Anolis sagrei: one gene and its partners. The protein of the gene in region 2 purifies or fractionates together with the protein of the main gene of each other region. This does not show direct contact. Links are inferred from orthologs where the notes say so. Each region holds a gene or a part of one and is shown on either strand. Other genes may lie near its edges.

Evidence for each region.
Region 1: the proteins of ING4 (region 2) and KAT7 purify together in Homo sapiens (affinity purification with western blotting; 6 studies listed by BioGRID and IntAct, with this or other methods). This does not show direct contact. The link is inferred for Anolis sagrei from reciprocal best matches to the Homo sapiens genes ING4 and KAT7.
Region 3: the proteins of ING4 (region 2) and BRD1 purify together in Homo sapiens (affinity purification with mass spectrometry; 5 studies listed by BioGRID and IntAct, with this or other methods). This does not show direct contact. The link is inferred for Anolis sagrei from reciprocal best matches to the Homo sapiens genes ING4 and BRD1.
Region 4: the proteins of ING4 (region 2) and JADE3 purify together in Homo sapiens (affinity purification with mass spectrometry; 3 studies listed by BioGRID and IntAct, with this or other methods). This does not show direct contact. The link is inferred for Anolis sagrei from reciprocal best matches to the Homo sapiens genes ING4 and JADE3.

Annotation. Positions count from the first base shown.
Region 1 is NC_090026.1:31,669,699-31,677,308, reverse strand, and holds the start of KAT7 (histone acetyltransferase KAT7), read left to right. Parts: upstream 1-4,609; 5' UTR 4,610-4,658; coding exon 4,659-4,688; intron 4,689-7,610. UniProt on the Homo sapiens protein: Catalytic subunit of histone acetyltransferase HBO1 complexes, which specifically mediate acetylation of histone H3 at 'Lys-14' (H3K14ac), thereby regulating various processes, such as gene transcription, protein ubiquitination, immune regulation, stem cell pluripotent and self-renewal maintenance and embryonic development.
Region 2 is NC_090022.1:197,488,119-197,496,035, forward strand, and holds the start of ING4 (inhibitor of growth protein 4), read right to left. Parts: upstream 3,018-7,917; 5' UTR 2,966-3,017; coding exon 2,929-2,965; intron 1-2,928. Other genes in the region: transcription factor HES-2-like, read right to left, coding at 6,781-7,067.
Region 3 is NC_090025.1:122,939,561-122,947,132, forward strand, and holds the start of BRD1 (bromodomain-containing protein 1), read right to left. Parts: upstream 3,002-7,572; 5' UTR 2,545-3,001; intron 1-2,544. UniProt on the Homo sapiens protein: Scaffold subunit of various histone acetyltransferase (HAT) complexes, such as the MOZ/MORF and HBO1 complexes, that acts as a regulator of hematopoiesis.
Region 4 is NC_090023.1:99,696,414-99,703,551, forward strand, and holds the start of JADE3 (protein Jade-3), read right to left. Parts: upstream 3,002-7,138; 5' UTR 2,765-3,001; intron 2,289-2,764; exon of another isoform or gene 2,264-2,288; intron 1-2,263. UniProt on the Homo sapiens protein: Scaffold subunit of some HBO1 complexes, which have a histone H4 acetyltransferase activity.

The DNA of each region.
Region 1 (7,610 bases), on a different chromosome or scaffold from region 2:
ACCACTGGACAAATTGACACCAAATTTGGACACAAGACAATTAACAACCCAATGTATGTCCTTCACTCAAAAAAACATATGATTTTGCCATTTGGGAGTTGTAGTTGCTGGGATTTATAGTTCACCTACAATCACAGAGCATTCTGAACCCCACAACAATAGAATTGAACCAAACTTGGCACACAATTCTCCCATGACCAAAAGAAAATACTGGAAGGATTTGGTGGCAGTGTCCTTTGGTTTTGGAGTTGTAGTTCACCTACATCCAAAGATCACCGTGGACTCAAACAATGATGGATCTGGACCAAGCTGTACAAGAATACTCAATATGCCAAAATGTGAACACTGGTGGAGTTTGGGGGAAATAGAATCTTGACATTTGGGAGTTGTAGTTGCTGGGATTTATAGTTCACCTACAGTGAAAGAGCATTCTGAACCCCACCGATAGAATTGGGCCTAATCTCCCACACAGAACCCCCATGTGGGCCACAGCAACATAAATAATAATAATAATAATAATAATAATAGAGAAATGTATATAGCTACAACCCAGTTTGCCCAAACCAAAAATGGATGCTCCTATTATGAGGAACAGAGGCTGGTTCCCAAAACAAAGATGGCGGATTCAGCACCGCTCTGAATTCAAACTCCCGATGCAACTGTGGTCAGTTTAGACTTTTGGGTAAGAACCAAGCTCTGCCCGGCTCAAAGATGGCCGCCCCTGTTCTTTCGACCCGAGGCCCTGCCCGGCTCAAAAATGGCCGCCGCTCCACGCGCGGAAGACGTCATTCCCCATTCCAAGATGGCGGGCGGCCGTCGGCGTGAGGTGAGGTTTGTCTGCGTCACGTGACGGGCAGGACGGGGGTGTGTATCTCCCCGCCGAGTGTCCCGGCGGAAGAGTGGAGGGAGTCGGCTGAAAGGTCGCCGCTGGGGGGAATCAGGCACCAGAGGGCGGCGCGGCCTGGCGCTGGGGGACCGGAGGCACGCCAGTCACGACGGACACCGCCGGAGCCAACGCGGCGGCCGGGGCGCAGCCACCCTCGCTGCCTCCGCCGCCGCCTCCGCCCAGGATGTCTCGCCGAAAGGTAAGCGGCGCCAGAAGGAGCCAAGCCCCTCCGCTCGCCTTCTCCTTCGCCCGCTTAGACCGCCAGGCTCGAAAACCAGTTAAAAACGTAGGCCTTCAAGCCCCTGCTTCAGCTCGCGGCGTGATTGGCTCCCTCTGCCTCCCGCCGCCACTTGAATGGCCGCCCTCGCCATCAGTTAGGGCAAGCCCCGCCTTCGACGGTTATTTGTTTCCCTCCTCCCTTTGGGTGGTTGTTGTGTCCCGCCTCCTTCCCGCCCTGATAGGCTCCGTTGCCGTCCTCTCATTGGTTGGCCTCCCTATCACTTCCTACTGGCGCGGTTTTCTTCTCCCCGCCTCCTTCCTCGCTTCAGACTTGGCTGTATGTGTTGAGGAAAGGCGCTGATTGGCTGCTCTGAATTAGCCTTCCCTTGCTCCTCATTGGATGGCAGGCAGCCGAACGCCCACCTCCTTGATGTTGTGATTGGCGGAGGAAGAAAATGCCTGAGATGGTTCAAAACAGAGCAAGCAAGATGGCCCAGGCAGGGTTGCAGAACAGGAATCAGTTTTGATTAAATATGGTTATACTCTTACATTTTTTTCTCATCATGGAACCATTTTAACTGCAGGATAAACCTGCAAAGGTATCATTTCCTTTTGATCAATCTAGTTAAGGCCTCTTCTACACAAACTCCACATTGAACTGGATTATATGGCAGTGTGGACTTGGGCCCTTCCAGACAGGCCCAGGATCCCAGCATCTGATCCCAGGTTTTATGTTTATCCCAGATTATCAGGCAGTGCGGACTCATATAGTCCAGTTTAAAGCAGAAAACCTGGGTTCAGATCCTGGGATACAGGGCCTGTCTGGAAGGGCGCTTCCACACAGCCATATAACCAAGACTATCAAGGCAGAAAATCTCACAATATCTGTTGTGAACTGTGTTCTGCCATATATTTCAGTTCAAAGCCAATATTGTGCGATTTTCTGCCTTGATATTCTAGGTTATATGGTTGTGTGGAAGGACCCTTAGATAACCCAGTCCAATGCCAATATTGTGGATTATCTGCCATGATATTCTGGGTTTTAATTATTTATTTATTTCTATCCCGCCTTTCTCCCAATTGGTACTCAAAGTGGCAAACAAACATGTAATGAAAAACATTGCAGAGCATAAAATTATGCATAATCATCACACCACAAACATATCTAATAAGAGGTTGTTGTAGGTTTTTCAGGCTATATGGCCATGTTCTAGAAGCATTCTTTCCTGACGTTTCGCCTGCATCTGTGGCAGGCATCCTCAGAGGATCCCTGCTATAGATGCAGGCAAAACGTCAGGAGAGAATGCTTCTAGAACATCGTCCTGTAGCCCGAAAAATCTACAACAACCCAGTGATTCCAGCCATGAAAGCCTTTGACAATACATATCTAATAAATTATAAAACTGGTGATGACATAATAAATAGATAACACAATTTAAACATTCAATAAAGTTAAAAGATTACACGGCTGTGGGAAAGAGCCCTTAGAGATTTCCATTTCAAGTGGTTAGATTCATTTTAGTTTCATACATAGTTTCATACAGCAAAAGATCCTCTGATACATTGAAACTGATATAATTTTGTTAACTTGTTATTGTGTCATTTCCACTCCAAGGTGACTCCAGTACAGGGGCTTTTTGGCGAAATTTGTCCAGGTGTGATTAGCCATTGCCTTCCCTTGAGACTGAGAGAAATTTAAGATGGATTTTAATATAAAACCACACAAGGCATATTTCCCAGACATCAGCTGAGACATTGAGTGCACGAAAGACTCATTTGTCAATTGGAATAAACATCACATGTTGTCTGTGCCAGCGTATGAAGATCTTATTGAAATTCATTGTCGCTATAGGTGATCCCTCGTGGCCAGGTATGGTCTTGGTGGTGGGCCTGTTAGTGACTAGAGACCTATTCTAGATCCACATGGGCTTTCGAGGAGACATATTTCCAAATGGAAAGCAGTCCCGACAAGGTTTTGCATGACACACCTTCCCTTTGACTCCTTTTTTCCTTTCGTCCTCTATTCATGCTTCTTTGAAAGCTACAGCACTGTTGGTAAGCTGACATCCAGTGAGAGCACTCAAGTGCCATGGAGTGTTTATTCCACGTATTTTAAAGATTAGCTTTAAGCCCATCTTTAAATCTCTTTTGCTGTCAATCAACATTCCCTTTTCCATTGTTGAGCTGAGAGTAAAGTAACTGCTTTGGGAGATGGTGATCAGACATTTGGACAACACAGCTGCTTCAGCGAAGTTGATGGTGTAGGATCATCTCTTCCGTACTGATGGTCTTTGTTTCCAGAATGCTGACATTTGTCCACCTGTCCAAAGACATTTTTGAAGGCAACGCTGATGGAATTGTGCTAGAAGTTGAGAGTAACATTTGTAGACATTCCATGTATCACATGTGTACAACAGAGTTGGAAGTATAAAGGCTTTATAAACAAGCATCTTGGTATCCTTATGAATGCCCTTATCCTCAACAGGGCTTCATTTGAAAAAATGCTGCACTCACAAAGCTCGAATGGTGTATTTTGGCATCAATGTCAACTTTTGTGGAGAGATGGCTAAATTCAGTGTACCTCAGCTTTTTGAATCTGTACCACTGAATGACTTTTGGGTAGGACTAGTAGCCAGAAAGACCATCCAAGCTCTGCTCCCCTTTGTGTCCACCTGTCGATGTGAATTAGGTTTTCCAGTGTATATTTACATCAAAAACAAATACAGAAGTAAGTTGGATTCCACCCCAGATCTTCAAATTTATCTGTTGGACATAAAGACCAGTTTCAGAACTATTCTTAGTACAAAAATTAAACACTCTAATTCATGAAATAATCCAATATTTTCTTGGTTGAAATAAAGGTTTGTGGTTATATTTAAAGTATTTCCAAAGTAAAGTATTTAAAGTATTTTGGTATTATCCAAAAAACTTTGTGGGTTCACAAGCTAAAAATCAAGGATAGAATTAGGGTACCATGGAGGGTGGGGATAGGAATGCCTTCTGAATGGTTCCATGGCAGAAGATGTTTGGAAACTTCTGCTGTAATCCAAAACTGCCAGATATTCTTTTGGAGATTATAATTTCAGACTCCTAGTTCATATACATAGCTCCTACTGGAATAAATAGAATAATTTTCTTAACTAGCTTGATTGAGCGGTAGTATTTGTTTTTCAATTATAAAGTGATGAATCAAGAGTCACAGCACATTTGTACTCTGCTGCTATGTATTGAGTATACAGACATCGTTGGAAAATATTCTAAACATTTGTATCTTTCAGTTCTTCAAGTGCATCTTTTAAGTATGTACGAGGGTTGAATGAAATGTAATGCCTCTACCTTCGTAACTCCTCAACAGATGGCAGGTACTGGCTTGTTCAGTAGACTCTCCTCTACAGTTCCGTTTTGGTGGGAAGCCTTAGCATTGAACGGTTGTGTTGTTAATGTGCGAAGTATGGAACCCTGCGAAGATGGTTGATCAATGCAACTTAAGCAACATGCAGTTATTGAATTCTTGACAACAGAAGGTGTCACCCCAAAGGAGATTCATCAGAGAATGCAAGCTGTCTATGGTGATTGTGTTGATGTGAGTACTGTGCGTCATTGGGCGAGTAAGTTTAAAGATGTTGAGGTGGGAACATCTGGCTTGCGTGATAAACAAAGAGTTGGACATCCTGTGACAGCAACCACCGAGTTTCACAAGCAAAAGGTTGACAGATTGATTCAGGACGATTGTCATATCACTCAGAGAGAAATTTCAAGCATCATCAGCATTTCACGAGAACATGTGTGTCACATTATTGCTTTGCTTGGCTATCAGAAGATCTGTGCACGATGGGTACCCAGGTTGAGAGAACTGTGAGACGCTGGTTGCGGAAACAGAGAGTTGACGTCTTCTGTGATGGCTTCAGAAAACTTGTTTATCGTTGGCAGAAGTGTATCCAATTGTCTGGTGATTATGTGGAAAAGTGAATAGTGGTAGTTAAAGAGCACATTCTAAGGATTATTTCTGCGTTCGATTTATTAAAATATTCCCTTCCAAACCCAAGTAACAAAGCTGGAGGCATTACTTTTCATTCAATCCTCATATTTATCTTACTAATGATTTGCTTTTACATGTGCTGAGGCTTGTCAAATCTATATCTGCTTAGTGTTAACATTGCTGCAAGAGTAAATTCTCCCAGACTACTCCTCTTTAACTCTTTGGAGTCCCCTTAGCGTTCTCTTCCTTCCCTGGCACCTGTTACCCAATTTGTGTCACGACACAAAACACAATTGTAAACGTTATCTAATTGAATAATTTAAGATGCTTATGATCACAGTTCTTCTTCAGGTGCATCAACACTGTAGAATTGATGCAGATTGGTACCACTTTTAACTGTCATGGCTCAATTCTATGGAATTGTGGGAGTTGTCGTTTTTATAAGGAAAATCAAGACCTGTTTATGGGACCAAGCATTTGATCAGTGAGCAGCAAGTGGAAGAAGATCACACAACTTATGGCAATGAATTGACCTGGACTGGTTTTTAAATTTCGATTTTAATGGATGTGTCTTAATTAATTGTTTTGATTGTTGTTTTGATTTTTAATATTTTGATTGTATTGTGGTTGTTTTTATGATGCTAGCATCATATGATGCTTTTGTTAGGCCACCCTGAGTCCTCTTTCGGGGAGAAAAGGGCGGGGTATAAACATAGGAAAAAAATAAATATAATAAATAAATAGTCTAGTCTTGTCTGCCAAAGAGTATTAGTGCTCCAGCAAACTACAAATTCTATGATTCTGTAGCATTGGGCCATGGCAGTTAAAGTGGTGTCAAACACATTAATTCTACAGTGTTTCCTATATTGATTATTAAATCAACAGTGACAACTGTCCCCAAAGAAGTTGTTTCAGGTTTCTGAACCTGAACCGCTGTGAGTCGCCTTCGGGTTTGAGATACAGCAGTATATAAGCAAAGTAAATAAATAATAAATAAAATAAACTAGACTGCATGACATATAGGTTAAGCTGTTTGCTGTGTGTCTGTGAAGACCATTTTAAATGCTAGCTGTATTTGAACTTGAGTGGCGAAGGGACCACTGTGATGATCACATGGCTGTCATTGTGTTAATCCTACCTCAAATCCCACATTTGCTCTTAACGTATTATTGCTCCCAGGATTCCCACTGGAACCACTTCCTCTGTGTTTGAAAATAAGGCTGGGTTGTTTTTGCACGTACACTCTGAGACCTGACCAACAATAAAGAAAAACGTTACAGCTTTTGCACAGAGGCATATCAAACAACACAAAATATTAGAATGCCATAAAGCTCAATAAGAGTTTTACCCACATATCGCTTTACCCACATAGAGGACATTAAATCAGCAACAACGACAAGTGACACTATGTTCAGACGCGTCTTTGTATGTACCTTTTCATAATCAAAATCTGTAATAATCTGTAATAATGTATCAGTGAAATAGAATGGGAAGATTGGGGGTGATTCATTCACTAAGAATAGATGATCTTATGGCACTTAATTATCCCACATGTATTCAAATAGTCACATCTTGCAGTTGTTGTTTAATTGAGAGTTTAGCATTGGTAAAACCAAGACTTCTTATACATGACTAAGAAAACCCTAGAATAGCCACTAAACAATACAAAACTTTTCTGTGAGGTAAGTGGCACCTCACTGGTGCAATCAGCATATATACATATGCATATATGAGAGAGAGAGAGGACGACACTTTTTACCTCCAGGGCACAAACATATGTGACTGCAGTTTCCCTTTATTTTAATATACCATTAATCTGTTAACTGTACAGCACTGTCTACCCTCACACACTCTTTTGTTGTCTTTTTGGAACTTGATTCTTTTTTCTCTCTGACTTCTGAATCCTGACCCTGTTGTTCTCTTTTCCTTGCACATCATTCTAACAACACCTCCTACTCACACTCTGTTAGCTTTTCATCATCCATATACAAATGACACTCCACATTCTTGATTTAGTCTTCAGGCATATACTTTGAATCATACTTATCATCTAATATCACAATATGTGTGCAGTGGATTATTGAAAATTGCATTATAATCTATGTAACGTTAGCAAGGTCTCAACCCTGTTTGTGTGGGTGGCTATGAAACAGGCTAATGCTTAGAAATGTTGTCTTCCTAAGAAACAGTGTTGCGCATAGTTCCTTGCATAGAGAGCTGATGATCATTTGGTGCAACATGATGAAACAACTTTCTGGATTGTTTGGATTTACCAGTAAGTTCTCAGAACTCCAGTCACCATGATCAGTGTAGGAATTGTGAGGACTAAAACTGAAAACAGCAAGAGTTTGTCAGTGGTTTCTGATTGACTATATGAAAAAATAAGTTTAAGACCATTGCCTTGAGATCTGACTTCCAATTCACATCAGACTGATGGTGGAGGATTATGGGAGTCTTTAAATACCTGCAAACCTTAGTTACTTCCCTGTGCATTGAGGCATGGAGATATCTTCCTTATAAGCGTTG
Region 2 (7,917 bases):
AGATAGGATCTTACAGAACCATCACACATACTTTGTTATAGAATGACCAACATCAATTCTGAATTGACTGAACAGCCACTGGGACGTTAAGACCATATACATTCAAAAAGCTTAGTGATAAAAGCACCAAAGATCTACTCCACACAATGAATGTTGGCAAACCCAGATTTTCTCACTGTACACATATTCTGCAAGAGAGTTCTCGGATGTCTGACTACCAAGCTTATACATGTATGCTTGCCTCAATCACATTTTCTATTACACTATGTAAGAAAATGTAACACTATGTACATTTTGTTACACTATGTAACAAAATGTTATTCCCTGTTTAATTGTATGGTACTTACTTTGAAAGTAGTTGTCTACTCCAGAAACATTGTTTTTGTGGCTGCCACAAACTAGTTTGAATTGAGACTCAATGAGATATTCAATGAAAAACAATAGCAAAATGTGCTTCAGGATGTCCCTCCAAATCGGTTTTTGCAGTTTAATAACCTTTCCCCATGTTTTAATGATACCAAGCTTATAAATGTATGCTTGCCTCAATCATATTTTCTATTACACTATGTAAGAAAATGTTATTCCCTGTTTAAATGTTTTAATGATAGAAACAATTAAATAAATGTCTGAAATGACTGAACCCAGGAACAAAAATCGTGTTACATTGTGTTATTTGGATGTACACTCACTGCATATGACATTGATGCACACCTTTCAAATGCAACTGAAAAGGCAACACACTAGTGTTTTGTTTCTAAATATAATGAACACGAACAGGCCTATCCAGCCAATGTTCTCATTCATATATATATATATATATATATATAAATAATTCAAAAGACAAAATTTAAAATATAGTAACCAACAAAATAATCAAGAAGAATATATTAAAACTGTATCTGCATCAAGAAAGTACATCGTAGTACGGAGTTTTCTCAATATATAATTAAGGTCAACAAGTAAAGTCAACAAAGATACAATCATTATATATGCTTGATAACACAAAAATGATAGCTGTTATAATAAAGAAGCACTTAATTTCGTTTAAAACTTTCCCCATCTAAAGTATACTGCACTTATAGTTCTAATACCATGTTTCAAATTATTTTAATATTTTAAGCTTTTTTTCACCCATATCTCTTTCCCTTTTCTCTGTGTCACCTTCACCTGGACTAACTTATCTTACTCTTTACCATCATCCATGGTTCATCCTACCCCAAACCACACCAGGGTGTAAAGTGGGACATGAGGGAGGAGTCTGTGTGCCAAGTTTGGTCCAGGTCTGTTATTCGTGGGGGTCGCAGTGGTCTGTGGAAGTGAGATCTAAAGTAAGTTTTTTTTCTGTGTCAGGCGCAACTTGAGAAACTGCGAATTGCTTCTGGTGTGAGAGAATTGGCCGTCTGCAAGGACGTTGCCCAGGGGATGCCCGGATGTGAGAGGCTTCTCTCATGTCCCTGGATGAGAAGTTGGAGCTGACAGCCAGGAGCTCAACCCACTCCCTGGATTCGAACCATCGACCTTTCAATCAGCAATCCTCCTGGCACAAGGGTTTAACCCATTCTGCCACCAGGGCCTAATGCTAATCAAGGTGGCCACTTGAAACATTCACACTTGCCTCAAGCAGACAAGGGTTCTTTTCCCACCCTGGAAATTCCACAGATATATAAACCCCACTTGCCTAGTTTCCAACAGACCTGGAACCTCTAAGGATGCCTGCCATAGAGGTGGGTGAAACATTAGGAGAGAATGCTTCTGGAACATGGCCATAGAGCCTGGAAAATTCACAGCAACCCAGTGATTCCGGCCATGAAAGCCTTCAACAACACAAATTTATCTGAATTTAAGCTATTCAGCCAAAAATGGAAAAGAACAGCACAGGATCATATATTTTGACAAATTGTAGATTTGTGCAAAGATGAAAGAAGTGGATTGATGACAAATTGGACAAAGGAATAAATGAAACTACTACTATTAATACTGCTGTAATGTTCTGTCATCTCTCAGTTAGAAGTAAACAAAAGTATGGAGCTGTGGAAGAAGCAATAATTTTGTAAAAGCTTAACCATTTAAAATAATGTTCATTTCATTATCAAGCAATTACTCATTGAAGTCCTTCTTTTGGCCACAAGATGATTTGAAGGGGAAAATAATAGGAGGGAAAGAATGGGTGTGATGCAACATTATAATTTTATTCGCTGGAAATGTACACTTAAATACATTGCACGGTTTAATAAAACCTAACAACTGAGGCGCTCTCCACATAGCCGAATAAAACCCCACGTTTTCTGTTTTGAATTGGAATATCTGGCAGTGTGGACTCAGATAACCCAGTTCAAAGCAGATATTTTGGGTGACATGGCTGTGTGGAAGGACCCTAAGTTACCTAAGGCCCCTTCCACAAAGCTGAATAAAATCCCACATCATCTGCTTTGAACTGGAATATATGGCAGTGTGGACTCAAGAAACCCAGTTCAAAGAAGATATTGTGGGATTTTCCGCCTTGATATTTTGGCTGTGTGGAAGGGCCCTAAGTTATCTAAGTCTCTTCCACACAGCTGAATAAAACTCCACATTATCTTCTTTGAACTGGAATATCTGGCAGTGTGGACTCTGATAACCCAGTTCAAAGCAGATATTGTGGGATGTTCTGCCTTGATATTCTGGGTGATGGGGCTGTGTGGAAGGGCCCTTAAACGTAGGCATGGGCGTAACGCAGGGGTCCTGGCAGACCAAGGCTGTCAATTGGCCACAGCGCTTCATTCAGGGGCCCTTTGGGTCAGGCTCGCATGTGGGTAACACGCATAACGTGTGAATGATGAACGAGGCGCGCCCCCTCCTCTTCCTCCTCCTCCCGAGGCGGCCTTTGGCTTCCAGGGCTCCTCCGCCGCCTGGCCCTCGGCCCTCCTCCCGCTCCGTTCCCGCGCTTACTGTCGAGGTAGTGCTCCAGGTACATCCCCGCCGCCATCTTGGGTTTCGGCCAAGCGCCCAAACTCCTCCCGCTTCCCGCCCTAACGTCATTTCCGCCCTCAATCAGGCCGACTTCCGGAAGGGGCTTCGGCTCACTTCCGCCCGGTTTGGGCTTTGCTCCTGAGTGGTAAGCAGAACTGAACCTGAAGACCTGGCTGGGCAAAAGGGAGGCGGGGAAGGCCAACGTTTTCTTCTTTCCCTGATTAGTACAATCGGGTTATTATTATTATTATTATTATTATTAAAGTGGATACATACCTTAAAGAAAACATTTCTGAAAAACATTTCAGAAAAGGGACTTTGCAGACATTGGGCCCTTCCACACAGCTGCATAAAATCCACACTGACCTGGATTATATGGCAGTGTGGACTCAGATAACCCAGTTCAAGGAGCCACCAGTGTTGCAATGGGTACCAGCAGGACTGAAGACCGACAGGTCACAGATTCAAATCTGGGGAGAGTACAGATGAGCTCCCTCTGTCAGCTCCAGCTCCCCGTGTGGGGATATGAGAGAAGCCTCCCACAAGGATGATACAACATCAAAAACATCCTGGCATCCGCTGGGCAACACTCTTGCAGACGACCAATTCTCTCACACCAGAAGCAACTTGATGTTTCTCAATTTGCTCCTGACACGTATATACCCAGTTCAAAGCAGATAATGTGGATTATTCTGCCTTGATAATCTGGGTATATATAGTTGATGGCTGAAAGCGAGGAGGAGCTGAGAAGCCTTCTAATCAAGGTGGAAGAAGAAAGCACAAAAGCTGGGTTGCAGTTAAACATAAAAAAAAACCAAGATTATAGCAATCGGACTGATTGATAACTGTCAAATAGAGGGAGAAAACGTGGAGGCTGTGACAGACTTTGTATTTCTAGGTGCAAAGATGACTGCAGATGCAGACAGCAGCCAGGAAATCAGAAGACATTTACTTCTTGGGAGGAGAGCAATGACCAATCTCGATAAAATAGCAAAGAGTAGAGACATCACAATGGCAAGCAAGATCCGCATAGTTAAAGCAATGGTATTCCCCATAGTCACCTACGGATGTGAGAGCTGGACCATAAGGAAGACAGAATGAAGATTTATGCTTTTGAACTGTGGTGTTGGAGGAAAGTGCTGAGAGTGCCTTGAACCGCGAGAAGATCTAACCAGTCCATCCTCCAGGAAATAAAGCCCGACTGCTCATTGGAGGGAAGGATATTAGAGGCAAAGATGAAGTACTTTGGCCACATAATGCGAAGACAGGAAAGCTTGGAGAAGACAATTATGCTGGGGAAAATGGAAGGAAATAGGAAGAGGGGCCGACCAAGGGCAAGATGGATGGATGGCATCCTTGAAGTGACTGGATTGACCCTGAAGAGCTGGAGGTGGTGACAGCCAACAGAAAGCTCTGGCGTGGGTTGGTCCATGAGGTCACGAAGAGTCGGAAGCAACTGAACGAATATACAACAACATAGATTTGTGGAAGGGCCCTGGGTTATCTGAGGACCCTTCCACACAGCCCTATATCCCAGAATATCAAGGCAGAAAATCCCACAATATCTGCTTTGAACCGGGTTATCTGAGTCCACACTCAGATAATGTGGGATTTTCTACCTTGATATTCTGGGATATAGGGCTGTGTGGAAGGGCCCTTGGAGAACATGAGACATCCCAGCAGACTGGAGGAGAGCAAATGTTGTCCCTCTCTTCAAAGGGAAAAAGGATGACCCAAACAGTTACCACCCAGTCAGGCTGACATTAATACCAGGAAAGATTCTGGAGCAGATCATTAAGGAGACAGTCTGCAATCACTTAGAAAGGAATGCTGTGATTTCTAAATGTCAACACGGATTTCGGAAAAACAAGTCGTGCCATACTAATGTTATCTTTTTTTTTTTGGATAGAATTACAAGCTTGGTAGATGCAGGGAATGGTGTGGGGGCAGCATATCATGATTTCAGTAAGGCCTCTGACAAAGTCCCCCATGACCTTCTCGCATGCAAGCTAAGCAAGTGTGGGCTAGGCAATGCTACTATTAAAATGTAATTGCTTAAGCAATTGGACCCAAAGGGTATTAACTAACAGTTCCTCTTCATCTTGTGCCATAAACAAAAGTTTTTGTAGGTCGAACCATTAGAAAACAAAGGTATTGTTGAAGGCTTTCATGGCCAGAATCACTGGGCTGTTGTAGGTTTTTTGGGCTATATGGCCATGTTCTAGATGCATTCTTTCCTGACATTTCGCCTGCATGTATGCCAGACATCCTCAGAGGTTGTGAGATCTGTTGGGAACTAGGAAAATTGGGTTTATATATCTGTGGAAAGTCTAGGGTGGGAGAAAAAACCCTTGTTTGTTGGAGCTAGCATTTGGTTAGCATTTGATGACCTGACAGTTTTTTAAGTGTGGATTGTTAGTGCCTGGGGGAGTCCTTTGTTGAGAAGTGATTAGCTGTCTCTGATTGTTTCGTGTCTGGAGTTCCCCTGTGTTTGAGTATTGTTCTTTATTTAATGTTATAATTTTATAGTTTTTTTTAATACTGGTAGCCAAATTTTGTTCATTTTCATGGTTTCCTCCTTTCTGTTGAAATTGTCCACATGCTTGTAGATTTCAATGGCTTCTCTGTGGAGCCTGACATGGTGGTTGTTAGAGTGTTTCAGCATTTCTGTGTTCTCAAATTATATGTTATGTTCAGGTTGGTTCATCAGGTGCTCTGCCATGGCAACCAGAAAAGTCAGCCATAGCAGAGCACCACAGATATATAAACCCAATTTTCCTAGTTTCCAACAGACTTCACAACCTCTGAGGATGCCTGCCACAGATGCAGCCAAAACGTCAGGAGAGAATGCTTCTGGAACATGGCCATAGAGCCCGAAAAACCTACAACAACTGAGAAAACAAAGGTGTTGCTATCTCGGTTACCCATGTGAATAATTGTGGATTCTGAGAGAATTTTTGAATTGTGGATATGGGATGCTCAACCTGTTTTAAACACTACAAGTTACTAGATGATCCTTTACACACAATTTCTTCATTTTTGTAATGTAAAACATATGAAAAACATTAAATGGGGAAACTTTTCAAAACAACAATTCAAATCAATATGGAATTTATATTAATGGCAATTACAGGGAATAAAAACATTGCTGCGAAGAACCAAGACCTATTTAAACCAATGGTCTTAGCAGGAAAGGCGGTAATAGCCTGGGTATGGAGAAATGAAAAAAATGGAATATGGAAAATTGGAATAACTATTTATTTGAGAAAGTCCAATCAGATATTATTGCATGTATAACCCAAGAAGGTTCACGGGAGGACAAAACAGAAGAAATTAAAGAGAAACGGGCAACATATATGAAATGGGTAGAAGAAGGGGAAGCCACTGATATTGTACTAAGATTAAAAAGGTTGTTTTCGTGGTTAAAAATAAAGATATAGAGAGAAAAGTGGTGGGAAGGGTAAGGAAGGGTAGTGGGAGGAGAGGGAGAAAAAATACAAAATGTAATACGAATAAATCTGTAAAGAATGTGAAAAGATAATATAGAAATATCTTATATTGTAAGCCTATAATAGACATTTATTATCTGTTCAAATATGTTATTTGTTTTCAATAAAAATCAGTATAAAATAGCAACACATGAAGAAACACAGAAAAACATACTTGTGTGCAGACAAGTAATGGTGCTTAAGACATGAGACAAGAACAAGACGTACATGCTTTCTCTAACATTGTTTTCCAAATACCAAATAAATTAGAGACTATAGTCCTGGCAGGATACTATTTACATTTTTTCCTTCAGTCATGGGCTTTCAAAAATATATACAAGACTCAGGTAGACCAGGGTCTCCAGAATCCTTGAGACCCAGTTTTGCTTAGAACCACGGAGGAAGCTGATTTTCCAGGACACTGGAGGCTGCGGAAAGGCTCCTTCTCTTCATTCCAGCTTGAGATATTTTCTAGGCCAGAGACTTGAGAAGTAGATACCAGTGAGAAGGTCTCATTACTGGAAATGGGTTGACTGGGAGGTTCTAGGTATGCCTGTCTTTCTGAGATGGTTGCTTGAGCAAAGGAGGCACAATGCAAGCATCCACTCTGGAAGCCCCTGTCATCTGCCACTGTGAAAAGAAAGAACAAACAAAATCAAAGAGTTGTTGACCGAAAGGTCACAGGTTCAAATCCGGGGAGTGGTATAAGCTTCCGGGGAGTGGTATAAGCTGTCAGCCTTAGCTTCTGCCAACCTAGCAATTCGAAAACATGCAAATGTGAGTAGATCAATAGGTACTGCTCCGGCAGGAAGGTAATGTGCTCCATGCAGTCAATTTGGCTAAATGACCTTGGAGGTGTCTACAGACAACACTGACTCTGGCTTAGAAATGGAGATGAGCACCAACCCCCAGAGTTGGACACGACTGGACAACATTCCTATGTTAATGTCAGGGGAAAACCTTTACCTTTACCTAACCTAAGATGATACACCTTTAGAAGTAAGAACACATGAATTTTACCAGGATTAAGCAAATCAAAGCTATTGAATTAGATGTGGTTTCCACCTGCTCTTCAAAGTCCAACAAATCTATTTGCATGTATATTTTTGTCTTATGAAACCTTAAGTCTGCACTCACACTACCAGTATGAACCCCATACAGATAATTGTAGCTTGGCCACTATAGTTCAGAAGATTTAAGCATTCACATAGTTTTTGGGCAGTGGTTCTCAACCTGTGGATCCCCAGGTGTTTTGGCCTACAACCCCCAGAAATCCTAGCCAGTTCACCAGCTGTTAGGATTTCTGGGAGTTGAAGGCAAAAACATCTGGGGACCCACAGGTTGAGAACGACTGTTTTAGGTTTTTTTCCAGAGCTATACCCAGAAAGAGTATTCAGGTGTACCATTTCATCTGGGCTGGATCTGTTCTCTGTTCAGTTTCTTCAAAGGCATGAAACAGAGGAGAGAGCAGCTCCACTGT
Region 3 (7,572 bases), on a different chromosome or scaffold from region 2:
GGATGGCCCTTGTGGTCTGTTCCAACTCTATGTTTCTATGTTTCAAATGGAAGAGATGGAAGAGTGTCTCTATTTGAATCTGCATATAAATCAATATGGTTAGACAAGAGTGGTGTTTTACTGGCTCTCTGACCAAGTTCAAAGAACCAACTTAGAAATTAGACACTACTTTTTAAAATAGTAACATCAGAAATAAAAAGTATAACATACATGCATTTATATATCAGTAACTACACTAAAAGTGAAGAACTTAAGTACAGTACAAGATAGGTGTCCTATAACATAATGCAAGGGTTCTCAACCTGTGGGTCCTTAGGTAGTTTGGCCTACAACTCCCAGAAATCCAAGCCAATTTACCAGCTGTTAGGATTTCTGGGAGTTGAAGGTCAAAACATCTGGGGACCCACAGGATGACAACCACTGGCATATGTCAGAACTGAGTTCAATGGGATTTATTTCCAGATGTGTGCAACATGGTACTGCAGCTTTAGTCACAGTCTGCTCCCATGACAACTTTCTAAGGACAGTCATTATTGTCCTCATTTTACAACAACACTTCCTCAAACAAGCCAGGCTGTCATACATATTATTAACTGAAGTGACATCATAATTGGCAATTGTTCATTCATTCCAAAATCTTCTGCCCCAAATAAACAATGCTTGACAAATGAAGAAGTAAGTACATGTATAAGAACAGTTGTAACAGAGGTAATACAAAAAAAGGTAACATGAATTGCATGTTACCATGAATCACATATTCAGCATCATTACTGAAAAAAGTAGCTTCATCTGTATCATCTTCTATCATAAAATTAACATAACAGTTGTATGAAAATCTGGTTGAAGAGTTGAGTTCCTGCTCTAATAGTGAGAATGAAATCTTTCCTGATGTGCAAGCCATGTATCCAAGGCTTCTTGAAAATGTAAATTTTATGCATCGGCCCGAAGATTTCACACCTTCTGAGATGCCTAATGTTGCCAGGCTTCTGACAGAATAAGATCTACAGCTTTTGTGCTTCCCATGAGCATATAACATGAGTCAGATACATTTGTCACCATCTTACTTCATTTCTCTCACAGCAAACAAAGAAAGTACTTTGCAAATTCCACTAATAAACAGGGGCTTACAAAAATGAAATGAAATGTTATTTCTTGTTCACACTGCTGCAGTGCGTTGGTGTGAACAAGAAATAACAGAAATGTTGTAATTGTATATTATCTCACAAATCATTTATTTTTTTAAAGTAAATAAAAGGTTTTCATGAGACACGTCATGCTGCCATATATTTTGTTAATGTACAAAACAAAACCAAGGCATACAGTGGAAATTAAAATTCACTATTAAAACTGTCTGAATAGGCCTGTCGGAAGAGATAGGTCTTCACTTTTATCTTAAATTCTGACAGCTGATCCACCTGTTGAGAGCTCTACGGGCAGGTCATTCTACAGTCATGGAGCAGCAGATGAAAAGGTCCTCTAGGTGGTGGTTGCCAGTCGGGTTTTGGCTAGTTGGAGGAACTGCCTCCAAGAGGACCTAAGTGAGTGGGGCAGATTGTAAGGGAGAATCACTGGGTCATGAAACCATGCATGTCTCAAAAGTGTGCCAGCAAGATGAAATGCTTGGAAATCTCTGGATTAGGGAACTCAAGAAAATGAAACCTAAAAAAAGTTTGGTAAATAAAAAAACTCTTCATACACCAGTGGTTCTCAACCTGTGGGAACCCAGATGTTTTGACCTTGGCCTTTGTAAGCTGCATCGAGTCATGCTAGCGGGGTACAAATAAAGTTAATAATAATAATAAAAAAAATAATTGACCTTCAGCTCCCAGAAATCCTAACAGCTGGTAGACTGACTGGGATTTCTGTGAGTTGTAGGCAAAAACACTGACAACCACTGCCATACACCTAAGTGAAACAGTAGCTTAAAGGGCAGGAGGGGAGGGGAAAGAAAGTTTCATTCCACTTAAAAAGTGAAAGTGAACAACCCAGAAATGACCCCGCCCTCCCTGACGTCATCAGACCGGAATGAATCCAGGAAGAGAGCTGAGATAACCCAGAAGTCGAGAAATAAACATGAAGGGAAAGGGGGGGCACGACATTGAAGTTAAAATACGTGAAAAGGACAGTAGCAGCCCAAACTGCGGGGATCCCTTCCCAACACCCCCCTTTGGCAGAATGGTCTCGCCCTGGGGAGAGGGGCCTGGCCCCGCCCCGCGCGACACAGCCCCAGTTGCTGGAGGGCTCCTGACCCCGCCCCCTGCCAGGCCCCGCCCACGCACACCAATGGTTCCTGCCCAGGCCCAGCGCACCCCTCCCCCCGCAGAATGGTTCCTTCCGCGCCAGGCCCAGCCGCTCGCTCGCTGGCTGGCTCTCCCCTCAGCCAGGAGGAGGAGGAGGGCGGCCTGCCTGCCTTCCCTTCCTTCTTCCTCCCTCTCGCCCTCGCCTTCCCCGCCCGGGACAATAATACGCGGGCCTAAACATGGCGCCCGCCCAACACCAGAGCTGCCTCGGCGCTCTCGCCGCCTCCGAGCCTCCTGTGCTCACCTGAGGGAGCCGCAGCGACGCGGCTGACAGGCCCTCCTCCTCCTCCTTTCGTGCGAAGACTAATGGCGGCGGCGGCGGCGCTGCTACTGCCGAGTTCGGGGAGGGAGAGGAGGCGGCGGCGGCGAGAGAGACCGCTCCCGGCGGAGGTGGCGGTTGCTGGGTCCGCGCATTCGGCAGAGCGCGTCGCGAAGGGCCGCAGTCCGGCTGCGGAGGCTCCTTCCCGAGGCCGAGCCACTTCCCTCCCCGTCCTCCTCCTCCTCTTCCTCCCCCCTCGGCACAAACAATGCGGCGGCCTCAGCACAGCGCTCGCGCCGGCGGGGGAGGGGTGGGAGGGAAGCAGGGAGGGAGGGAGCGGGGGAGGGGCGGGAGCGGAGGCGGCAGCAGCAGGCAGGCAGGCAGGCAGGCACCTCCCAGCCCCGGCGACGAGCACGAGCGCCTGGCCAGGACTCCCTCCGCGCGTTCTGTGGGCGGCGCCAGCGCGGGCTCCCCACAGGACACGCCCACACGCTTTCGTAACCCGCCCGCCAGCCAATCCCCGCCCGGGACGCTTCTCCGCGGACCCGCCTCCCCGCCGGCTGTAATAAGCTGCCGGTCAAGTTCGGAGAGTTTTGTTTGCTTCTGGCCCGAGGAGGAGGGACTCGACTTTTTCTCAGACAGTTGGGACAAACAAAAAGGAGAGTCTTACGCTACCATTTGAAGGCTTTCAAAACACCGGCTCGGAAACAGCGCCTTCCACATCGCCTTCCTGGGAGAGTGAAAGGAACGTTTCATAGTTCTCGCTCGTGGGCGTTCGGAGTTCCATGGAACTCAAGGGTCCACCATTCCACCCTGGGATCCTGAGGCAAAGGAGTGCACTGCGCTCCCGTTTTCTTAGCAATGTGCCCCACAATGTCAGCAAATTTACCCCCCCGGAAACTAGGCACTGGATCCCGAGTCTTCTCCATCTGGAACGCAGTCGTGAAACCAAATTACCAGTTTGGGAAAGGGTAATTGTAGGCTTCCTTTGAGATCAGGGTGGAGGGCTGTCGTGTCTGCTTGAGAAAGCAGTCATTACGAAAAGCTGCAGTTACGCATTGCCACATATTGCCTATCCATGTACATGTAAGATCAGGGGTCCACAAACTTTTTAAACAGAGGACCAGGCCACAGTCCCTCAAACTGTTGGAGGGCTGGATTATAATTTGAAAGAAAAAATGAATGAATTCCTATGCACACTGCACATATCTTATTTGTAGTGCAAAAAACACTTAAAAATACAACAATTAAAATGATGAACAATTTCAACAAATATAAAATTATTAGTATTTCAGTGGGAAGTGTGAGTCTACTTTTGGCTGATGAGATAGGACTGTTGTTATTGTTGTGTGCTTTCAAGTCATTTCAGACTTAGGTTGACCCTGAGCGAAGGCCGGGTAAATGACCTTGGGGGGCCGCATCTGGCCCCCGGGCCTTACTTTGAGGACCCCTGTGTAAGATAAGGTGGGGGGGGGGGGAAACTGAGGTAGTAGACAAGAACTAAAATTAGAAATGGTGAGACTAATCCAGTGGTTCTCAGCCTGTGGATGCCCAGGTGTTTCAGCCTACAACTCCCAGAAATCCCAGCCAGGTGTTAGGATTTCTGAGAGTTGAAGGCCAAAACATCTGGGCACCCGCAGGTTGAGAACCACTGACATATAGCTGGGAAGACTCCCTCTGTGACATCAGAGCCCCTCCTCCAGCAACAATGTAATATTATATAATACTAATATTATGAATGATGTATTAGTACTATGCTAACAGGAGCGGCTCAACCCATTACACAAAGTAAGCATTTGCAGTATAGTTGATTTTGCCCAGGTGTGCTCTTGAGGCGTTCTTGAGAGAAAATAGACATTGACATATGCGAGTTGTAGTTACTGGGATGTATAGTTCACCTACAATCAAAGAGCATTCTGAACTCCACCAATGAGAGAACTGAACCAAATATGGCACACAGAACTCCCATGACGAACAGAAAGTATATATCAGTGATTGGTTGGGGGGGCGGGGGGAAGAATACTGTTTGCTTACTATTGAAAATTACCTAGGGCCACCTCTGTATGCCAATATTGTGTGTTGTATGTCCATATTTATTTATTTCCTATATTTATACCCTGCCCTTCCCCCCCCCCCCCCCGAAGGAGGACTCAGAGCAGCCTAACAAAAGCATAATAAAAACCACAGTACAATCAAAATATTAAAAAATAAAACAATTAATTAAGACACATCCATTAAAATGGAAATCCAAAAACCGGTCCGGGTCAATGCATTGCCATAAGTTTGTGATCTTCCACTTGCTGCTCATTGCTCAAATGCTTGGTCCCATAACCAGGTCTTGATTTTCCTTCTAAAAGACAAGAGGGAGGTGGCCAATCTGATATCTCTAGGGAGGGTGCTCCATAGGCAGGGGGCCACTGCTGAGAAGGCCCTGTCTCTCGTCCCCATCAACCGTGTTTGCGATAGTGGGATGGAGAGCAGGGCCGCTCCTTAAGATCTTAAACTTTGTGATGGTTCGTGGCAGGAGATACGTTCGGACAGGTACTCTGGGCCAGAAACTTTTAGGACTTTAAAGGTTATTTATGACTTGTAAGCCGCTCTGAGTCCCCTTCAGGGTGAGAAGGGCAGCATATAAATGTCATAAATAAATAAATTTTACCATGAAAACTCTATGATTGGACAATTCAAACTGAAACGAGAGATAGTGCCAGAAGAAAGGATGAGAAACACTGGGCTAAGGGGACATCACTGTAGAATTAATGCAGATTGACATCATCATAGGCTATCACTTGTGGCCAAGTATGATTTCCTTTCAAGTGTTGGGTATTGGTGGTGGAACTGTGGAATTCTGGGACCTGGAGTCTGGTGAGACACCAGCACTATTTGGCAGAGAAGGCTAAAGCCCTTCTATAACTACAACCCCTTCAGTTGCATAGGGCTAAGCATAGCAGTTGAAGTGGTGTTGGATTGCAGTAATTCTTTACTGGAGATGCACCTGTCATCTCAAAACCCTTTCTGACAGTTATGGGGTGCCCTAAGAGCAGAAGCCTTTCATTAGCCTAACACTATCAGAACATAAATCATAAAATCAAAGGCAGCAGAGGGATGTAGGAGATTCTCAGATATTGTGTGTGTGTATATATGTACATATGTATGTGTGTGGATAGATAGAAAACATATGGTGATAACCTTGAAATGGGTTTAGGAGAGGGGTGATGTGAAAATAATACAACACAGTTTAAGTTTTGTTAATGAGTTACGAAACTAACCAATTTCTTGACCTATTATAATTTTTATTTTACTGTCTGATATATTTATAAACACCTGCTTTGCAGCATTAAAGGTGACATCTGGATATCATTTAAGATTTGTATGTACCGATGTTCATTTATGGCCAGTAGTGTATCAGTTCGGCAGTCCAATGGCAACAATCTGCAAAGAACTTAGGGTGACAAACACAACTTAGAAAACGCAGGGACTCATAAGCACAATGTGGGTATGCAACTACAATGCTATATACACAAATATTAGGTGGCTGTTTCCAATCAATCCAGTTGGATTACTTTAATCTTTTAAATACTAAATATATTTAATACTGTTTTAATATTTGTATATTTTAAATTTATTTTTTTTAATGCAAGCTGCTTTGAATGTCCTTATGGAGAGAAAAAGCAGGATATAAATAAACATAATAATGGAAGAAATTACATTGAGCATACCCAATTGGTTCCACTGACATCGCACAACTGCATGAAAAAAATGACTTGAAAGCACTCATCACAGTAGCTGCCAAAGGGTATCAAGATAATGATCTGATCAGTTTGCATCTCAGGTGTTGAAAATCTGTGGCCTTCCAGGTGTTTTAGCTTTATTAACTTCCACAGTTCTTTATTTTAGCCAGGCTAACTGGTGCTTCTGGGTAAAGTTAAAAGCCCCTAGACCCCCAGTGAAATGGTCACGTTCGCATTCCAGTGGTTTTAGCATTCTATCAATATCAATTTCTTTTTAATCAAGATCTTTCAAAAATACTGTTCAAATACATTCCAAAATAAAGAAAGAAAAAGAAAATGTAAAAGTTTAAAGTATGAAAATACACCTAAATTGCATTTTAATTAGCATTGATGAACTTTAGAGAAAGGTAAAGGTTTCCCCTTGACACTAAGTCTAGTCGTGTCCAACTCTGGGGGGTGGTGCTCATCTCCATTTCTAACCTGAAGAGTCGGCATTGTCTGTAGATGCCTCCAAGGTCATGTAGCCTGCATGAATGCATGGAACGCCGTTACCTTCCTGCCGGAGCGGTACCTACTGATCTCACATTTGCATGTTTTTGAACTGTTAGGTTGGCAAACGTTGGGCCTGATAGCGGGAGCAAACCCCGCTCCCCGGATTCGAATCACAAATTTAGTAGCTCAGCAGTTTAACCCGCTACACCACCAGGGGCTCCAGATATATCTTTAGATGTTGTTGTTGTTGTTCATTCATTCAGTCGTCTCCGACTCTTCGTGACCTCATGGACCAGCCCACGCCAGAGCTCCCTGTCGGCCGTCTTTAGATACATCTAGCTAATATTGTATGTCAACAAGGCATTATCACTGGTGTTGGTTTTTCCCTTCAAATAGTTTCTGACTTATGGTGATCCTAGAACATAATATGGTAGGGTTGTGTGTGTATCCATCCAGATATGGAGCCTTCAATTTTTAGGATGTAGTGGCCACGGGTTGTGCAAGAATTGTTGCAAGTACTTCATAAAATTGTTATTACAACTGGAAATAGCACAGACTTAAGGATCCTGGAAGGCAAAACTAGCATATAATAGTTGCCCTCTCACTTTTCTTGCTCTCCTGTCACATCCTTGATTCATTGCCCCACTCATGTGCTCACCTTTCAGTTATGAAGCAGACAACACTCCTTCATATACCAAGACATTTGTATGATTGAGATGTTTTTGCATACAAGTAAATGAGAGTTGTATTTTACCTGGGTTATACAGGCAAAGTCATGTAATTAGTTCAG
Region 4 (7,138 bases), on a different chromosome or scaffold from region 2:
ATCTGTTAGTATTTGTCAATAAGAAACGGTTGCCTTCACTATGTGTGCTTGCTTGGACCAAGTTCCGCAATGTTCAGTGTGGCCTAATCCCTGACAAAAAGGCACAGGATAGTAGTCTGAAAGCAGGCCTCTGTGTGCTAAGTGCTGGTATCCTATATATGTGTCCACACAGAAGAAGAAAAAAGGTACAGCTCTCCAGATACTGGAATATAACCCATCTTTCACTATGCTCTACTGGTACTGAGGACACTAGTCTTTCTGTCAATTGTACTCATGTATAAGTTGACCTCATGTATCAATTGAGAGCTGGTTTGGGGACCAAAATTCTGGTTGAGAAACGGCAAGTCTCTTCCGGTGTGAGAGAATTGCCCATCTGCGAGGACATTGCCTAAGGGACGCCCAAATGTTTTACTATCCTGTGGGAGACTTCTCTCATGTCCCTGCATGAGAATCTGGAGTTGACAGACGGGAGCTCACCCCACTCCCCGGATTCAAACCGCTGACCTTTCAGTGAGCAGTACTCACCCATTGCGATACTGGGGGCAATATGACTCATGGATAAATTGATACTCATTCTGTGAAGGGAGAAAGACCCAGTGCTGACTCAGGGGCCCAGCTGCCCATCGCCATTCCTCTGCTCAGAACTGTCTTTTAGGTTCTTCCAGGACTGACTCAGCTCTTGCCTTTTGGCCCTCTGCTCAGAGAATGAGGTGGTTTGTTTCAGCAAGTTAAGGCACAGTACTTACATTGACCTGTGGGTAAGTTGAGGGTCATTCCACAGAGAGGGGCAAGTGCCAATGCCACCTAAGAGGGCCTGCCGCCCCCAGCCAAGCACCCAAAAAGGACAGAAGAACGTAAAGAGGGTCGGTGCTTCTTTGAGGTTATCCCAGGATGGACTCATCTCACTTCACACTGCTTTACATAGAGGAGGGAATGGTTCCTTTTTTGATAAGAGTTACAGCACAGTACTTATACTGACCCATGGAGAAGCTGGTCCAGGTTTATTTATTTATTTATTTATTTATTTATTTAGGTCACTTCTACCCCGCCCTTCTCAACCCCCGAGGGGGGTTCTGGGGGTTGTTGTTTTTTTACCAAAATTTCTAGACTTATACTTGAGTGTACAGGGCAAATAAATTGATTTCTCCATCCAAGAGGGCCAGAAATGGTGCCACAGCAGAGATTGCTGAAAGTGCTAGTGTTTCTTTTAGGCCCTTTCAACCCTGCAAGATTATCAAAGCAGATAATCCACATGATTATATGAATCTTCACTGCCATATAATTCAGTTCAAAGCAGATAATCTGGATTTTATATGGTAGTGTAGAAGAAGCCTTAAGTTTCTCACAGAATGGACCTTTCTTCTTTAAGAAAGGGACGGCTCCTTTCTTTTGAGATGGGTTAAAGTACAATACTGTACTCACATTGACCCATGGATAAGTCATTTTGGTATTGTTTTTCTGATTAAAATGTTTGGCCTTATACATGAGCATGTAGGGTATGTAAAACACCTCATCCAAGTATTTTTGCCCCTTACTTCCAGGTGGAGCCACAGTCCAGCATCCCCTGGAAGATCACCCTGAATGACACTCCAGTTTCTTGGTCGCTGTGAGTTTTCACTGAACTATTATCTGTTTGAGGCAAGTGTGAATGCTGCAATTGATTACCTTGATTAGCACTGAATAGCCTTGCAGCTTCAAGGCCTGGCCGGTTGCTGCCTGGGGACCCTTTGTTGGGAGGTGTTAGCTGGCCCTGATTGAATCTTGTCTGGAATCAACCCCCAGGCAGCAACCAGCCCGGCTTTGAAGCTGCAAAGCCATTCAATGCTAATCAAGGTGGCCAATTGCAACATTCACACTTGCCTCAAGCAGACAAGAGTTCTTTCTCCCACTTTGGACATTCCAGATATATAAACCTCACTTGCCTAGTTTCCAACAGAGCTCACAACCTCTGAGGCTGCCTGCCAAAGATGTCAGGAGAGAATGCTTCTGGAACATGGCCCCACAGCCCAGAAAACTTACAGCAACCCAGTGATTCCGGCCATGAAAGCCTTCGACAACACTCCAGTTCCTCTTTCCAAAAATGCCTAGATATGTATAATAATAAACACTCCACCTCTGTGTATGAAGGCGACTGTGGTCTTATTGGGACAACAACACAGGTTCATCCAAAGCTTAAGTCACCCAAGGGAGCGGGGCCCTTGAAATAAAGGAAACGGGAGGGAAACTTTGAAGAACAAAGGCCTTGACCCCTCCTCGCGCTCACCCGGCCGCCAAGCGGGAAGAAAGGCAGGCCAACGGGGGCTCCCAGTCCAGGAGAAGCCACATGGCTGGAGGGGGGCACCCCGTCACGTGGCTCCCGGCGGCCAACGGCAGCCCAGGACGGGCGGCGCAGGCCCCGCCCCCGCCTCGCTCCCAGGCCCGCTTTCCGCCCGTCCGGCCACCTTCGGGACCTCGGCGCATGCGCAGAAGAGCCCGGCGCGCGGTCGCGGGGCTGGCAACTCGGACCAGAGCAGGGCCTAGGCACTCGCCAGGTGTTTTGGACTCCAACTCCCAGAAGCCTCGGCTGCCTTACCCGATGGTGAGGGATTCTGGGAGATGGAGTCTAAATCAGTCACCCGGGAAAACAGTTCCTGGGGATAGGATAGGCCGCTGGGGCGCTCCCTTCAGCCACAAAGCCGCCCGCTCTCGCCTTTTCGGCTGGGCCTCGGCTGGCGGGCCTGGCCACAGCCCTGGCTCTCCCCCAGGACGCGAGGCGTTCGCTTACCTTGTGGCTCCGGGCTGGAGGGGCGGCCGGTCCGTCTCCCCCGCTACCAGCCCGGCGGGCTCACGCTCGTGCCGCCACCGCCGAGGAGGGGGAGGCCGAGGAGGAGGCCGGCAGCGCACAAGAGCCCTATTGTACTATTGCCGCCGCTTCTGGTGCTGCTGCTGCTAGCGCTGCTCCTGCCGCCTTCGCCTCGGAGGCTCCTCCTCTTCCCCTTCCTTCCCTTCTCTCTCTCTCTCTCCCTCCCTGTTGGCGCTTCCCTTTCGCCCGGCTTTGGCACCTGCTGCTTGCCCCCGCCTCGCCTTGGCCCGCTGTCGCCCACCGGGGCCTCCTTAAGAGCAGGCACGCAGGGGAGGGAGGGAAGGAAAGGAGGGAAGGGAAGGGAAGGGAAGGGAAGGGAAGGGAAGGGAAGGGAAGGGAAGGGAAGGGAGGGGAGGGGAGGGGAAGGGAAGGGAGGGGAAGGAGGGAGGGAGGGAGGGAGGGAGGAAGGAAGGAAGGAAGGAAGGAAGGAAGGATCGAAGGATCCCCTCCGAGGCCTCCGTTGCCCTCTGCTGAAGCGCCCTCTCCACTCCTGCTTCCCACAACCAGCCACATTTCTCAAAATCCAATCTCCACAGGGACAGAAAGTGAGGTGGAATCTTCTGGACAGGGGCACAGCCAGCAAACCATACCCCACATGGGGTATTCGCCTTTTCCTATGCTATCCAAAGCATATGTTAGGAATTCTGGGAGTTCAAGTCCCAAACACCCAGAGGGCCCACATTTGGCCATGCCTGATCTACACAGTGGTTCCCAATCTGTGCTCCATGGACCAACAGAGGTCAGCAAGAACTAAACTATGGTCTGCGGCCTTATTTATTTACTTACTGTATTTCTATACCGCCCTTCTTAGTCTATCAGCGACTCAAGGCAATTTACCACTAATCAGTATACATAATATCAAAATACAAATTAAAACATAAAAACAGTTTAAAACCACAGCAACACAATAAAACCCTTACTGTTAGTACTCTGTTGCAACAAGAGCGACTGGTCGCACAAAACCCTCTTATGGTGCCAAGGCTTATTAAATATGGTGTTCTGTGGGTGAGCAGATAACAACTGCTGAATGCCATATCATAGAATCAGAGTTGGAAGAGACCTCATGGGCCATCCAGTCCAACCCCCTACCAAGAAGCAGGGAAATCACCTTCAAAGCACCCCCAACAGATAGCTATCCAGCCTCTGTTTAAAAGCCTCTAAAGAAGGAACCTCCACCACACTCCGGGGCAGAAAGTTCCACTGCTGAACCGCTCTCACAGGAAGTTAATGTTCAGGTGGAATCTCCTTTCCTTTAGTTTGAAGCCATTGTTCCACATCCTAGTCTCCAGGGCAGTTGAAAACAAGCTTGTTCCCTCCTCCTTAAGACTTCTTCGCACATATTTATACATGGCTAAACATGCCCAGCTCTTTAAGCCACTCATCATAGGGCTTGTTCTCCAGACCCTTGATCATTTTAGTCGCCCTCCTCGGGACACATTCCAGCTTGTCAATATTGCTCTTCAATTGTGGTGCCCAGAATTGGACACAATATTCCAGGTGTGGTCTAACCAAGGCAGAATAGTGAGGAAGCATGACTTCCCTGGATCCTTGTTTCCACAAACAGCCATATTCCTATGATTTCATAGCAGTGTGCCAGGCCAGTACCAAGTGGTTCATTGTACTGTATAGATCCCCTGGTTGTGTACTGGGTTAAACCGCTGAGCTGCTCAACTTTCTGGCCAAAAGGATAGTGGTTCGAATCTGGTTAGCGGGGTGAGCTCCCGCTGTTAGCCCCAGTTTCTGCCAACCTAACAGTTCGAAAACTGTTGAGTAGATCAATAGGTACCACTCAGGCAGGAAGGTATCAGCACTCCATGCAGTCATTCTGGCCACATGACCTTGGAGGTGTCTGCGGACAATGCCGGCTCTTCGGCGTAGAAATGGAGATGAACACCACCCCACAGGGTTGGACATGACTAGACTTAATGTCAAGGGGAAACCTTTATCCTTACCAATAGATCCGCATAATATGTTGGGAGTTTTACCCTCAAGAAGACCTTGGGTGAATCCACAATGTGGAAGTCATGCAGTCTGACACCACTGTAATTGTCTTTGCCACCTTCAATGCAATGGAATCAGGGTCTTTGTAGTTTTACAACACCTTCAGCCTTCTCTGCCAGAGTGATAGTGCCACACCAAACTACAAATCCCAGGATGCCACAGCATTGAGCCACAGCAGTTTAAGTGGGCTCAAACTGCAATGATTCTACAATGTAGATCAGTGGTTTTCAACCTGTAGGTCCCCAGGTGTTTTGGCCTTCAACTCCCAGAAATCCTAGCCAGTTGTTGGGATTTCTGGGAGTTGAAGGCTAAAACATCTGGAGACCCATAGATTGAGAAACACTGATGTAGATGAATCTCTTGTTTGAGCTGGAGCATTCTGAATTCAGAGATCTAGCCATGTTGGTCTGGGCCAGAGTTTTACAGGATAGAAAGAGATCTTGTAGCACCTTTGGGACTGAAAAAAGGAAATTAGTAACCTTCGCTTTCTTAGACATAAGCCTGGCTGCTGTTTTATTGCACGGCTCAGAAAGTGAGGTTATATTCCCACTGGTTTTGAAACCCAACTATCCAGAAATCCCAGGCCTGCTACTATCATAGAAACCAAAACCTAACAATGCGGTTAGTTAAGTGTGCTTCTCCTTTTTTTGTTTTTAAATAAACTGCATTCCTCCACAGATAGTTGGCTAGGTCAAAGACCAACTGCTTGTTCGCTTAACCAAAGCAAAGATTTTATCGATGCATAGGTCACAGTCATGCACCACAAAATATGCCTGTGGGGTATTGTGTACATATGCAAGTACAGTAACTCTGAATGGAAGAAAAATTATGGGGAACTCTCTTATTGCAAACAAAACTCAAAATGAACTCCCAAAAAGCAGTTAGTATGACAGGGGACGGGGCATAGTGTACAGGTAGTTGCTCAAGCAGAAGATTGGTCGGAAGGTATTTTTCCTATAGAGTCTGAGGCCCACCTTTACTCAAACTACTAAAAGTACACAAAGTACTAGCCACTGGCAAGAACTTGAGGGAAGAGGGAGTGATCTAGGGGCTATAAATATGGTGTAGGTGTTATGCAGAAATTATATACAATGGGCCCTTGGTATCTGCTAGTGTTTGGTTCCAGGATTCCCCATGGATACCAAAATCTGTAGATGCTCAAGTCTCCTTAAATACAATGATGTAGTAAAATGGTGTCACTGATATAAAACAGAAAAATAAAGATTTTCTTTTCGGATATTTTTAGTAAATTCAAGCCATGGATGGCTGGATCTGTGGATACAAAATCTGTGGATATGGAGACCTGACTGTATTTGTCAGTCACATGACAAGGAGATTGGTCTTAGCAACACTAAGTTCTAAATTAAGACAAAACAAATGAGTGGACTTTAGAGCAAGTCAAGCGGGATCTATCACTAAAAGTGAAAATGAGTTTAAAAATGATTGGTTCAAGGAAACCACTGCCCTTGTAAGACTTGAGAAGGGTTCTTACTTACAGGGTGTCTTGGAGGTCTCTTATTCATAGTGTTGCCATAAGTTAAAATCGACTTGACAATGAACGATGTCCTACTTAGTTGTGCTAAAAATATAAGAGTTCAACTAGAAGCCCATGTGACTTGAGAATTAATAAATATGCAAGTTGAGTTCAGCACATTTTATCTCCATACAGATATATCCTTAAGCAGTTATTTAAACGCAAATAAGTAAAATGCACATGAAAACCACTGCAGACATGAGAACCTCATTATTGCTCCAAAAAATATTCACACCACAAAATGGATTTTTGTCTCACTAGGTCCTCTAGTGCAATTCTATGAAAAGGTAAAGGTTTTCCCCTGACGTTAAGTCCAGTTGTGTCCGACTCTGGGGGTTGGTGTTCATCTCCATTTTCTAAGCCAAAGGGCTGGCGCTGTTCATAGACACCTCAAAGGTTATGTGGCTGGCATGACTGCATGGGGTGCCATTATCTCCTACCGAAGCGGTACCTATCGATCTACTCACATTGACATGTTTTCGAACTGCTAGGTTGGCAGAAGCTGGGCCTAACAGTGGGAGCTCACATCGCTCCCTGCGACCTTTTGATCAGCAAGTTCAGCAGCTCAGTGGTCTAAACCCACTGTGCCACTGGAGGCCTGTGCAATATTATGGTATAGTTAAAATACAGGTTTTTCTATTATTCATGACTTCAGATATCCACAAGGATGTATTGGAATGTATCTGTCACATATAGGGGAGTTATACTCTATGCGCAATTCATAGCCATCCAGTTAAAAAAGCAGCATAACAAGCCTGACC